Linked DNA regions of Canis lupus familiaris. The protein of the gene in region 3 purifies or fractionates together with the protein of the main gene of each other region. This does not show direct contact. Links are inferred from orthologs where the notes say so. Each region holds a gene or a part of one and is shown on either strand. Other genes may lie near its edges. The genes, in order: GIT2, WASL and NCK1.

Region 1 (4,259 bases), on a different chromosome or scaffold from region 3:
GAATCTTGAAAATAGTATTTGGATAATCAGGCTTACCCCAAAGTGTCAGAGTGCTCTTCCTTCATAATCTGTAAGAATAATCTAATCAAACTCTTTTAGGTACTTAGCCATCTTCCTGGTCAGACCTGAATCCTGCATATAGGTTCATCTTTCTCATTCTAGAATCAGAAAGCAATGATTTGTAAGACATCCTCGCCGTGCAGTGGGTCTTGGTTTTCCCAGTTCAGTCACTGTAATTTCCAGTGAATATTTGTGGAAAGAAATTAAAATATGATTTTATACTGCTTGGTTTTTAGATGGTTGAAACTTTGTATAATAATGGTGCTAATTCTATATGGGAACATTCTTTGCTGGACCCTGCCTCTATTATGAGCGGAAGACGTAAAGCTAATCCACAGGATAAAGTACAGTGAGTGGAATGTTTATAAATACTTTTATTTCTTCATAACACTTGGGGCCCACTAAAAGGAGTGCAGCTACTTTGGACCAGCCCCCACAAGGGCAGCACAGGAGGTGGTTACACCCCAATTGTGCGTTGAGCTCTCTGCTCTTAGGAATGCAGAACAAGGCCAGGCACAGGACCATCTCTTTTGCATGGTTGTACAGCACAAGTCAGTGGCTTCTCCAGTTTGACACTAATGCTCAGAGACTGTTAATGTAATCTGATTTAAGCTTAGGTGCTCAAACAAGAGGCAATCAGACCAAAAATCTCCATTCTGGGCTCTGGTCTGCCTGATGCCTCACCTATAGGATGGGATACAATGCTGCTTCCTCACAAGGCTGTAGGTCAGTTAAGAAAATTACAAAGAGAGAAGCTCTAAAAAGCAAGTATTCTGCAGTCCTGGCCTTTAGAATGACTAATTGATGTTTTGAGACTTCAGGTCTTAAACTCCTGCTGGAACTTATTTCAGTGTCATTCATTTTCTTCTCTAGTAGGGGATATGGGTCACTTCCTTTTCTTTTTACGGCCTAAAGAATGGGAAATGTTGCATCTGAACTGCAAGTAAGCAGCTTTCTTTCTTTCTTTTTTTTCTGGGTGGTAATCAGTCCTAATAAAGCAGAATTCATCAGAGCCAAATATCAGATGTTAGCATTTGTCCATCGCTTGCCTTGCCGGGATGATGACAGTATGACTGCCAAAGATCTTAGCAAGGTGGGTCACACTTTTTAAAATCCCTAAAACTGCTGGATCAAATGATATATTGTTTTGTTTGAAAAAAACTTAAAGAGGAAGAAAAGAAAAACAAAACAGAAACTTTCTGTACTCTAAATAATTAATAACAACCTTTTTTGCAGTTGGTTACATCTTTAATTTTAGTTCAAATGGCAGCCATTCTATGTTAGTGGAGGTACAAGGAGGTACAAGGAAAAATAAGTATGTATCTAGAAAATTATTTATGTTTTTCAGAAATGGTTTTGAAATTATATTTCTTGAGGCACCTGGGTGGCTCAGTTGGTTGAGCACCTACCTTCAATTCAGGATATGGCCCCCAGGATCCTCTGATTGAACCCCGCAGGGAACCTGCTTCTCCCTCTCCCGACTGCTCATGTTCTCTCTTTCACTATCTCTCTGTCTCTCAAATAAATAAATAAAATCTTTATCTCAAATAATTAAAATCTTTTTTAAAAAAGAGAGGGAAGGTGAGCACGAGCAGGTGGAGGGGCAGAGAGAGAGGGAGAGGGAGAAGCAGACTCCCCACTGAATTGATCCCAGGACCCTGGGATCATGACCTGAGCCGAAGACAGACGCTTAACCAACTGAGCCACCCAGACACCCCTAAAATTGTATCCCTAAAAGTTTTTCATTTAACTTTAAAATAGGAACCATCCCTTGAGTTTGTTTCTAGAAGGGACTAGAAAGTTCGAGGGACCTCTTTAGGTTTCTGGGTTGCATACTGAGTAGGATCTTCAGGAAGCAGGATGACTGAAAGCTGTAGTGCTTATGATTCTTTATTATACTTGTAAAATGAGTAGATGGTTTTCTTTATGTGGGCCTTTGCATGATTTTGAGAGATGCCATGAGAAACATGCATTTTTATTTTCAAAGCACTGCTTTTAGGAAATGTTCGCACAGAGCTTGGACACTTGCAATCAGAATTTTAAACTTTGCAAAAAAAAAAAAAGGAATTTTAAACTTTGCATAGAAAACATATATAACTGTTACTTCCGTTAATAAGCTTGGCATGGGGTTTTTACCACAACTTAAGAATATTAAATACATTAATTGTAAAAATAAGGTGTGGATATAGATGCTGGAGTAGACTTCTGCATTTTTATAATAAGGGTTATTGCATTTTAGACAATTCTAGGTTAGACTTGAAAAAAGCAGCTAATCTTCTGCATGTTTAAGAGCTTTTCTGCAGTGGTACAGAATTTGGTATACACCAGGCCTATTTCCCAGCCTGAAAGATTTTGTTAAAGTATTATATACAAGGCCAAGAATGTTGTTATGAAGAGGGTGTGCTATAAAGCAGAATCCAGTAGTTTACAGCATGGGGTACGCAGCCCTAAAGCCCTAGGTTAAATAACAACAACAAATAATAATGATTATAATAACAGCAGTTGTATTCTTTGAGTGTTTCCTGTATACCAGGCTCCATGCTGAGCATTTTGTTATATCATTGACTCCTTACAGTAATCCTTGAATAAGTGGCATTGTTTTCACCATTTTAGAGCTGAGAAAACTAAGGTTCAGATTGTTTAAAGAACTTCCACAAGGTCACACAACTTGAAGGGTATATGGTTTTAACTTCAGGTCTTTGAGACTTCAGAGCTGTGTTCACCTATCTTCTCATACCCCCTTTCACTTCAGGTCTGATTGTACCACTTAGATTGTGCATTTGGGCAAATCAGCCTTCCCATCCTTATTTCCTTATCAGTAAAATGGACCTGGCCCCACCTTAGAGCTCTGGAGTGGTTGTGACCAGCAAGGGAGAGGCTTACTGAGCTAAATAACTGATTATCACTAATATAATGTATATTAAAATGATCTGCCAGCTGCTATAGTATACCATTCTTTACACTTTTAACAAATACTTTTTTGATTTGTGTGTTTTTCAGCAACTTCATTCAAGCGTGAGAACAGGGAATCTTGAAACCTGTTTGAGGCTGTTATCTTTAGGAGCACAAGCCAACTTCTTTCACCCTGTGAGAAAAGCATGAATTGATTCAGATACTAAATTGAAACTAAGTGGGTTGTGTTTGTTGTAGCCTTTAGTTTTATTTAATTTGCTTGTTAATCTACTTTTTATTAATATTTCTCAGGAAAAAGGAAACACCCCACTCCACGTTGCCTCCAAAGCAGGGCAGATTTTACAGGCAGAATTATTGGCAGTATATGGAGCAGACCCAGGCACACAGGATTCTAGTGGAAAAACTCCTGTGGATTATGCAAGGTGAGAGACCTAGATTTCTTGTCACTGCATCTTTGGTTAGGGATTATTTATGTTGGGTATTATTCATTGTTGGTGGCTAAATTGTGTATGATTAACATTTAACCCCTTTAAGTTAAGGATATACATCTCCCATTATTTTACAGATGAAAGCATTTCAAATACATAAGAGCTCAGAGCCTGGCAGAGTTGGAGGAGATAGAACCATTAGCTTAGCTAATGTGCTTAGCTTCCAGTGTGCTTAGCTTCCAGTCTTTCAAATGACTTCTAATGCAATGGTATTTGAGCCATAGTCCAAAGCAAGTATCAAGAATTGCAAAACCCACTCCTCAGTTTCTTAATATGTTTAGTCATTGCTTGAACTTAAAAAACAGAGCTATATAGATAGGTAGGCGATTAAACAAGTAATAGTAAAATGTTAATTATAGGTTTTAGGTAGCAGATGTCTGGGTGCTTGCAATAAAATTCCTTAAGTTTCTTCTTGTTTTAAAAACTTTGTGAAATGCTGGAAAAATAAAAAAATCCATGTTAGCCTTGAATATCATTTAAATGGTAGAAGATGGCTCATCTTTCTTTTTCCAAATTAATTTTTTATCAACTGCAAAGCATTCTACTGTTCTGCAGAGGATAAAATGGGTGAAATGCCAAAATTGTGCCTTCCCAGAATTTATTATCTCATGGAGGAGATGATTCATAAATACATGAAAGAGTTAAAGGAGGCAAGATAATGTGGAATTCATTGCCAAAATGGATAACTGGTCTTAAAAGGCATATGTAGGGTTTCTTCGTTTTGACCTAAGTTAGTAAGAAACTTCTTTAGTTGGTCTTTAAAAAATGGGTTGGATTTGGGTGTGTGAAGGAGAAGCT
Region 2 (4,259 bases), on a different chromosome or scaffold from region 3:
GTGTTCTCTTTTTAAAATCACATCCCATGTCATCTTTTCCTAATTTAAAAAGTTGCTGAATTAAATTCCCTATTAATTTTCCCTGTCATTACTTCTTCCCATCCCATCCCATCCCATCCCACTCTCTCCCTGCCCAAAACACCTTGTAAGTAGATCTCTACATTTTTTAGAGAGAAAAATGTGTTCCATTCTAAGCATAGGCCATCCTTACCCTAAATAATCACTTTTTAAAAAAATTAGCTGCAGAGTAATATCCTAAAGGGCATAAGTCAGTAAATTATTAGCATATTATATATGTGATCTGAGACCATAATTTTATTTCATTTTTTAAGAAACCATTCTGTGGTTGAAATTTCTCTGTGTTTCTTTAAACTGTCTATATAAATCATTTATTCAGTGATGAAAATGACTAGCATAAGATCAGATTTACTTAAAGAGCTGACAGAAAGTGTATAGGTATTCACTTACATATATTTTGAATTCCATGTTCACAGTACCTAAACAGCACTGTGTCCAAGTCAGTGCTTTAGAAGACGTATTTATGGTAGTGTTGTGCTCCTACCGTGCTACCCATGCCATGCTTGGTATTGCCAGCTTCTTCAAGGGCGTCTTTCTGCCTATGGCTGCCGCACTCCTTTGATGGCCTTCTGCTGACATGAGGCCAACACCTAAATACTAATGAATGAGTCAGTATCTTATGGAGAATTACTTTGAATATTTTTAAAAGAAAAAGATCTGTAAGTCCAGAAAGACAAGTAGTAGTATTAGAAAAGTTGTAAAGACCAAAATAAAAAGTTTGCCCTAAGAAAATTCTTTTTCTTTTGAAAATGATTTAGAATTGAAACAACTGTATGATTTCATTTTTTTAATAAAATAATTTTTATTGGTGTTCAATTTACCAACATACAGAATAACACCCAGTGCTTATCCCGTCAAGTGTCCCCCTCAGTGCCTGTCACCCACTCACCCCCATCCCCCGCCCTCCTCCCCTTCCACCACCCCTAGTTCGTTTCCCAGAGTTAGGAGTCTTTATGTTCTGTCTCCCTTTCTGATATTTCCCACACATTTCTTCTCCCTTCCCTTATATTCCCTTTCACTATTATTTATATTTATATTTATTATTTATATTTATTATTCATTTTTAATTATACCAGTATTCTACCTTTATATAAGTAATATAATTCCAGAGACAAAATAAACAAAATAAGTATTTTGTATAAATTATTGCTCAGTTTAGTTAAAGTACACTTAGAGCAGTACTTCTGAAATTTTTTTTCCTGAATCTCTACAGAGTCCTGTATTCTCTCTTTTTAAATGAGAGTTAAGATCAGAGAATATTATTTACAGAAATTAGATTTTAATGAGACCCCTTGAGGTTGATATTTTTTTCCCCCTTGAATGTAGTTTATACTAGATAGAAGTACTTTAGTTAGGGATAGTTGGTTCAAGCCTTGTGAGGTAGGTACATTTTGAAAGCTACCTAACCTAACTGACCTCTTTGAAGAGAAGTTCTGTGCTATGAGAAGGAAAGTTTATTTTGAGTTAAAGCTTATATATACACATACACAGACACACACACACATATGTGTGTGTAATGTTACATATTAATATCATATGAGGTATGAATGTAAGTATATAAAGTTATAAAGCTTGTGAGTAAAGCTGAGTTTTCCTAGGAGAGCAGAAGTCTCTTCAGTTGCTCTTAGACATCTTAAGTGTCCTTCTCACCTAACAACTCCAGGAATCTGGGTATCATAGTTTTATAAAATGATATTCCTTGATAATAGTTTTAAAGTTTCATCAGCTAAGGCTTTGTGTACTAAAATGAAAATGAACAGAAATAATCCAGCTGTAAGGGCAAGTATTATTTAGGGAAAGGTTTGTTATTCTAAATTATAAAATATGTTGGTGGCTTTATACATTAAGGAGAATGAAATATACCTTGAATAATTATTTTAAGACAGCAATTTATTTCTTCTTAACTTAGTTAATCCTGTCATTTGCTTATTTGCTCTTTTTTTTTTTTTAATAGGAAGTGATTCTAAAAAAGTAAGACTTTGGAGACAAAAATTTTTTGCTAAGAATTTATTTTTAAATTTTGCTAACTTTTTTTCCCCAAGGTATCTGATGGCCAAGAATCTACACCACCAACACCTGCACCCACTTCAGGAATTGTGGGTGCATTAATGGAAGTAATGCAGAAAAGGAGCAAAGCCATTCATTCTTCAGGTATATTTTCATGTGTATATGTATATTTAATTTTAATATTTGAAGTTCTATTTTCTATTTATTGTTGTTGTTGTTGTTATAGTCTGTTAGCTTTTTCCCTGCTTTTGAGTAACACTGATGTGGATTTTAGGGCAAATTTTTAAAAGTTGTTGCCACTGTGACTAATCTATCTGAAGCCTAATGAGTTCCAGGACACCATAGCCATAACCATAAATTGGAAGAACGACTTAAGAAAAATGGCAATTTCATCTCCTATATCAGAAATACTAATAAAATGCCTGGCAAACTTCTAAACGAGGCTTGAGATTCTGGATTTCATTCCTGTGACATTCTTGTGACATGAGAAATTCAAGTTCCCATAATTTGTGAGAGTCAGGGCTGAGAAACTGGTTTTCTGGGATTTGCTAACGAATCTTAAAGTTTTTTGTGTCTTCTTTTTTGGGATTTCTTAAAAAGTTTATTTGAATAAACTAGTCCCTATTCTGAGGCCAGTATTAAGCATATGTGCACCACCATATAAGTGAATATTCCTTTCAAAAGAGAAAGCAGTGGGTCTTGCTGATGTAATACTTGAGGTTTACTAAAGAGCTTACCCAGCATGATGGACCAGAATTAGTTCTTTATTCATATTAATCTATTATTTACTTTCTGTGGACCTCAGTTTTCTTACATGTTGTATGGAGAGAATTCATGAATCATGATTGATATGAAGAATAAAATAATATGTAAGTAACCAGCAGATTACATAGCACATAGTAGGTGCTCAGTAAATGTCATTTTTCTTCTCTTTGTTTCTCTGTAAGGATGTGGATATCTAGGATCTGTTACCAATATTTGTTTTCCTTAAATAGACCTCTTTCTTCTCATACTATGTAATAAAGATAGAATAGGCTAGTTCATTCCACAAATATTTATCGTGGAATTAAAAAAACAAAAAACAAAAATCCTGGCCTTCATAGAGCATGCATTCCAGTGAGAGACAAACAGTAAAATTAAGTTAGAAAAATACATGGTAAGTGATGATTATGTACTGAGGACAAAAATTAAGCAGAAAAGGGAGATATAGGGACTTCTAAGATGTGTGAGGGAAGTTCATTTTGAAATAGGATGAGGCCTAATAACTGATGGGACATTTGCAAGAAGACCAGAAGGAGTTCAGGGAGTAAACCATGTAGAAAACATGTTCATTCAGGTGGAAAGAACAGCAAGTGCAAAGTCCCTAAGGTTTAGGAACATTAGTAAGGTCAGTATGGCTGAGTAAGGAAGGGAGGGAAAGAACAGTAAAGTAATGAAGTGTGAGAGGTAGTAGGAAGCCAGTAGTGAGGCTTTGGAGGCCATGAGTGTCATGGGAGGCCACTGAAAGGTCCTTAGCAGAAGAATGGCAACGAGCCAGGAAAGAGACAGTAGAGGTTTGAATCAGATTGGTAGCACCAGTGAGCAGGGGTTGGATGCTTGAAATATTTTGAATCTGGAGATCTTTGGGTTTGCTGATGGATTGGAAGTGAGGTTTGGAAAAAAGGAGTGAAGGATAACTCCCCAAGATTTTTGACATGAGCATGAAAGGAGTGAAGGTTTGAGAGGAAATATCAGGAGGTTGTTTTTTTTTTTTTTTTAATATTGAATTTGAGATACTTACTAAAAATTCAAATGTAGATGTTGTACAGGCATTTGGTTATGAGCCTGGAATCGAAGGGCAAGGTCTGGACTGTTAATATAAATTTACCTGCTGTTAAAATAGGTGAGGTATTTAAAGTTACAGAACTGGCTGGGATCATTAAAGAAGTGGATGTAAAAGGGGAAAGAAGGTGTAATAAGGTCTGAAGGCTGGAGAGTGTATTGTCTTAGAAGATACATGAAGTGTTGGAACGAGGATGGAGTGACGATCTGAGTCAAATGTGTGTGATCGGTCAAGATAATGAGAACAGGAAATTGAGCTTTAGCTTTAGCAACAGTAGGTCATTGGTGACCTGGAAAGACCAATGTCGTTGGGTTCAGGAGAGAATAGGAGGGAGGGTAGGAAGAGAGGCTGG
Region 3 (4,359 bases):
AAGAAGACTGGGGGGAAAAACAAAAAATGGAGAAAAAGAAAGCATCATCAGCTGTTTAAAATCAAATAAAAAGGTGTTTACTACCTAATCATATTTATAACACTTTGAAACTATTTTCTTCAACTTATATTCAAGTGATTTTACAGCAAAAACAGGTAAGCACATGACTTTTATTTCTATTACAATTGTCTACTAATAATCATCTCAATAAACAAAGAGAGACTGACAAAGATAATGAAATATGAACTAAAAGGCTTTAAAAGTAGATGTGGTGAAAATAAAAAATTGTACATCAATGCTTTAATTGTATTTGCTGACTCCTATTGCTTAGTGGGAGAAGCCAGGGCTGCCACCCAGTGGCAATGTAAGTCTTCAAATGATTTTAAGAGTTAAAGAATAAAAATTACTTAAAATAATTAAAAAAAATAATCCAAAAACCTCAGGAATTAGACAATTTCAATTTTAACATCAGTAATTTTGGTGTATTAAATACTTATCTATAACACATTAAAGAATAGAAACATTCATTTGCTTAGGCCGCACTGGGGAAATTTTTAAAAATACCATAAGATTTCCTAATACTGAAAGTAATTTTGCTTAAATTTAAATTCCAGAACAAATTATGTCGGAGAGGATAGCTAAGACCACAAAATACAGCTGTTTTCTTCTGTGACCTGCAGAAGTAGATTCAATACTCTATAGTAGCCTCTCATTCATACACCCAAGCTTCTGTTTAGTAAACAAAAACAATAGAAACTCTCCAAAAGTAAGATTTCAAAAATAACCTTCTCTAACCATTTGGCACATCCCATCTTTTCCTCAGGTATGATCAATTTTAGTGTCTCAGTCAACAAAACTCAAAGCTGAAAGGAGGAAAAGAAAATAGCAGAAATACTATACCTAATACTGATAGACATGTTTGGGGAGGGGAGACAAGTATCTCACTGCCTCCTACTTCCCCAACATTTGGCTGCAGCTTTTTTCACACTGACACAGATACAACATGCCCCAATACAAGATGCTTTGTCAAAATAACACTAGGGGAAAAAAAAAAACATAACACTAGGGCATCCATTTATAGTTTAAAAAGCTAAATATCTCAGAGACTGCTTTATTCTCTTAAATAACCAGGTAAGAAGCAACCCCACAAAAAAGTCCTAGAAGTTTAGATTTTTGTTTCCAACAGTTGCAAATTAAAAGTGTACAAGATACGTTTTCAAACCTATGTCCCATTTGTTTTGCTTTACAATGAAGACAATGAATATTTTTTAAAAATGGCAGACACAACATACTTGATATTTACAATGGCTTGCAACAAATACCTGAAAATAATTTCTAATTATCCATTTATTATTGCTATTTAGTCACAGAAAAGAACATTGTCCAAGAAATTTATTTTAGCATATGCCATATACTGATATAATAATTTTATATGAAGAGAAACCATTGCAGAAGTGACCTAAATATGGTGCCCTTACAAGGAAATAAAGAAAAAAACCAATAAATTCTTCCATGTAAAGACTTTCGATCTGCATCATCTTTAGAAAATATAAAACCTTAATATTAGAAGCAAAGAGAAAAACAGACAAGAAACAATAAAACAGAAGACCAAGGATAAGGAACTGCTTTATGCAGATGCTTTGCATATGTAGTATATATGTATGGGCTGAGTTATAATAAAAATACTTATGTATCACACTCAATTCTCATGTAGAGTCAGAAATCAATTTCCAATCAAATATGATTGGATTGACATTTTCTCAGTCTTCAATTACATGATGAGTTATAGCTTTATAGCAGTCACTTCTGGTCAGCATTATCATGACAAATGCTTGATAAGATACAGTTTTTCTCCTTGTTCACTTGTAAAAATTGGTGCCTTTTTGTAATGTTCTACAAGTTCTTCCATGGTGCTGAATTTACGCTGCCCAATGCAGTAGACAGTCTCTTTTAGTTGGACTTTAAAATGCTTGTTTTTCCCTTGTGCTTTTAGTGATACAGAGAAATCATTTGGCTAAAAGAGAAAAAAATACATAGGGTAAACATTTTGAAAGATATCTATTAGCATTTTTATATTACACTAATAATAATAAAGTGCTCAAATCTTAGCTAAGTACTAGGCACTATGCTATTTACATAGATTATCTCCTTTACACCTCTAACCAACCCTTTTTAGAGATGACAAAATCAAGGCCAAGAAAAGCTAAGTTGCTCAAAATCATCCATGTAGTTAACAAGACAGCCAGGATGCAAACCCAAGCAGCCAGACTCCAAAGTCTCTTAAATAATATGCTCTAACACCCATGGCAAATCCTTTAGTTTAACATCTGAAGCACAAGAGCTATCTTCTCTCCTTCAGACAACTGGAGAAACACATGAGAAAACATGAGTTAATGTGAGCTAACAGTAGCTATCTCATAGACTAGCTCAGATATTCGGCTGAATTCTTAAAGACAATAGACACTAATGAGAGGTCATAAACTCAAATGCCTACAAGGGTCAAAAGACATATAAACAAATGACAGGGTGGACAGAGAGAAGGAACAGTGCATGGCCAATTTAAAGAAAGTGGCCACTTAGTGGTGATTGTTGTCTTGTAGAAATACAGGCAAGGTTGGCAGGCCTTCCAATTTTATTTTTATTTATTTATTTAAAAAAAAGATTTATTTATTCATTCATTCATTCATTCATTCAGGGGGAGGGAGGGAGGGGGGGGGAGAGAGATAGTAGAGACACAGGCAGAGGGAGAAGCAGGCTCCATGCAGGAAGCCTGACACGGGACTGGATCCCGGGTCTCCAGGATCACACCCCGTGCTGCAGGCGGCGCTAAACCGCTGCACCCCGGGGCTGCCCAGGTCTTCCAATTTTAAAAGGAAGTCTGTCACCTGACTTTTTATAGTAAATTTCCCAATATTTAAATACTGGTAACAAATTCAAATGTTTAAAAAACATTGTTCATGTCAAACAAAATATCCTGTTTGAAATCTTTACTTTAAAAATTCTAGGGATGCTTGGGTGGCTCAGTGGTTGAGCATCCCTTCAGCTCAGGGCCTGATCCTGGGGTCTCAGGACTGAGTCCTGCATTGGGCTCCCCGCAGGGAGCCTGTTTCTCCTTCTGCCAATGTCTGCCATTCTCTGTTTCTCATGAATAAATAAAATCTTAAAAAAAAAAATCCTACTGCTAAAAATGATGGTGCATGTTGGCTAATATCCATGCTCAATTACCCACCAAGAAAACAGTGTTTTGTAACCAAGCTACTTTCTTACTTTTTGTTGTTTTTTTTAACCTAAACACTTTTCTGAACAGTCTAAAAGTTTTATATAGTTACTGACAAAGTTTCAAATAGTGGGCTTCTTGGAAACATCCTATACCTATGGTTACTCTTATCACCTGCTCTAAGGTCACTCATTTCCTAATGCTTCTTGCTCACTGCTTGTCCTAGAAAGATAGATCAAGTCAGGCATCTAACAGAAAACAAATCCCACCACTGTTCCCTATCATTGATCCTGCTCTTCCTGAGGGGTTATGTACAGGCCTCATTTCCTGAACTTCATATCAAGCAGTTCAATTACCTCTCTTTTCTTCCCTCCCTTTTATAAACATATACACGCTATACGCAAGTGCACATACACACACCAGATAAGTTTTCTTCTGACTTTAAATCTTTTCTACAATCACACATTCACATTTATAGAACTACATACACAGAAACAAAGCCAATACTAATGATCTGAAAACTGGAAAAGTAGTGGTATCCTTTTAAAAGGAAAAATAAAGACCAGTTAAATGAATAGGACCAAATTCTAATATTCTAAACAGTAATCAAAAGAGCCTACATAACTATTATTCCATTTTTATGGTTTCATAGTTTTACTAATATTAGAAAAAATATCTTTTATTGCAAATACATTTCAAAAACAGTGAGTATTAAAATAGGTTTCTGAGGTAAATAATAAAAGTGTATTCCAACTTCCAAACAACCAATCTATGAACAAACTTAAATCTCAATTTCTTTAATTTAGGGATTTCCTTTTATAAGGATGACAGCACATCCAATATGCAATTTAAAAAATGTTTTCTCAGGTGCACCTAGGTGGCTCAGTCAGTCAATCTTCTGACTCTCGATTTCAGCTCAGGTCATGATATCATGGTCGTGAGATTGAGCCCCGAGTCAGGCGCTGCATTGAGTGTGGAACCTGCTTGAGATTCTCTTTTCTCCTCTGCCCCTCCCCACACACATGTGGGTGCACATACTCTCTTCCTCTCAAGAAAAAAAAAAAAAATTTCCCCCAGTTTAGTCCATTGCATTGTTTTAACTCTGAACAGAGAAGTCACAGTTCAGTTTTCTCCATTTTTCA

Evidence for each region.
Region 1: the proteins of NCK1 (region 3) and GIT2 purify together in Homo sapiens (co-immunoprecipitation; 3 studies listed by BioGRID and IntAct, with this or other methods). This does not show direct contact. The link is inferred for Canis lupus familiaris from reciprocal best matches to the Homo sapiens genes NCK1 and GIT2.
Region 2: the proteins of NCK1 (region 3) and WASL purify together in Homo sapiens (co-immunoprecipitation; 4 studies listed by BioGRID and IntAct, with this or other methods). This does not show direct contact. The link is inferred for Canis lupus familiaris from reciprocal best matches to the Homo sapiens genes NCK1 and WASL.

What each region holds. Positions count from the first base shown.
Region 1 is NC_049247.1:17,528,293-17,532,551, forward strand, and holds part of GIT2 (ARF GTPase-activating protein GIT2), read left to right. Parts: intron 1-296; coding exon 297-409; intron 410-1,047; coding exon 1,048-1,153; intron 1,154-3,060; coding exon 3,061-3,147; intron 3,148-3,264; coding exon 3,265-3,395; intron 3,396-4,259. UniProt on the Homo sapiens protein: GTPase-activating protein for ADP ribosylation factor family members, including ARF1.
Region 2 is NC_049235.1:11,839,624-11,843,882, forward strand, and holds part of WASL (neural Wiskott-Aldrich syndrome protein), read left to right. Parts: intron 1-2,120; coding exon 2,121-2,229; intron 2,230-4,259. UniProt on the Homo sapiens protein: Regulates actin polymerization by stimulating the actin-nucleating activity of the Arp2/3 complex. Involved in various processes, such as mitosis and cytokinesis, via its role in the regulation of actin polymerization.
Region 3 is NC_049244.1:33,892,385-33,896,743, reverse strand, and holds the end of NCK1 (cytoplasmic protein NCK1), read right to left. Parts: intron 2,015-4,359; coding exon 1,820-2,014; 3' UTR 151-1,819; downstream 1-150. UniProt on the Homo sapiens protein: Adapter protein which associates with tyrosine-phosphorylated growth factor receptors, such as KDR and PDGFRB, or their cellular substrates. Maintains low levels of EIF2S1 phosphorylation by promoting its dephosphorylation by PP1.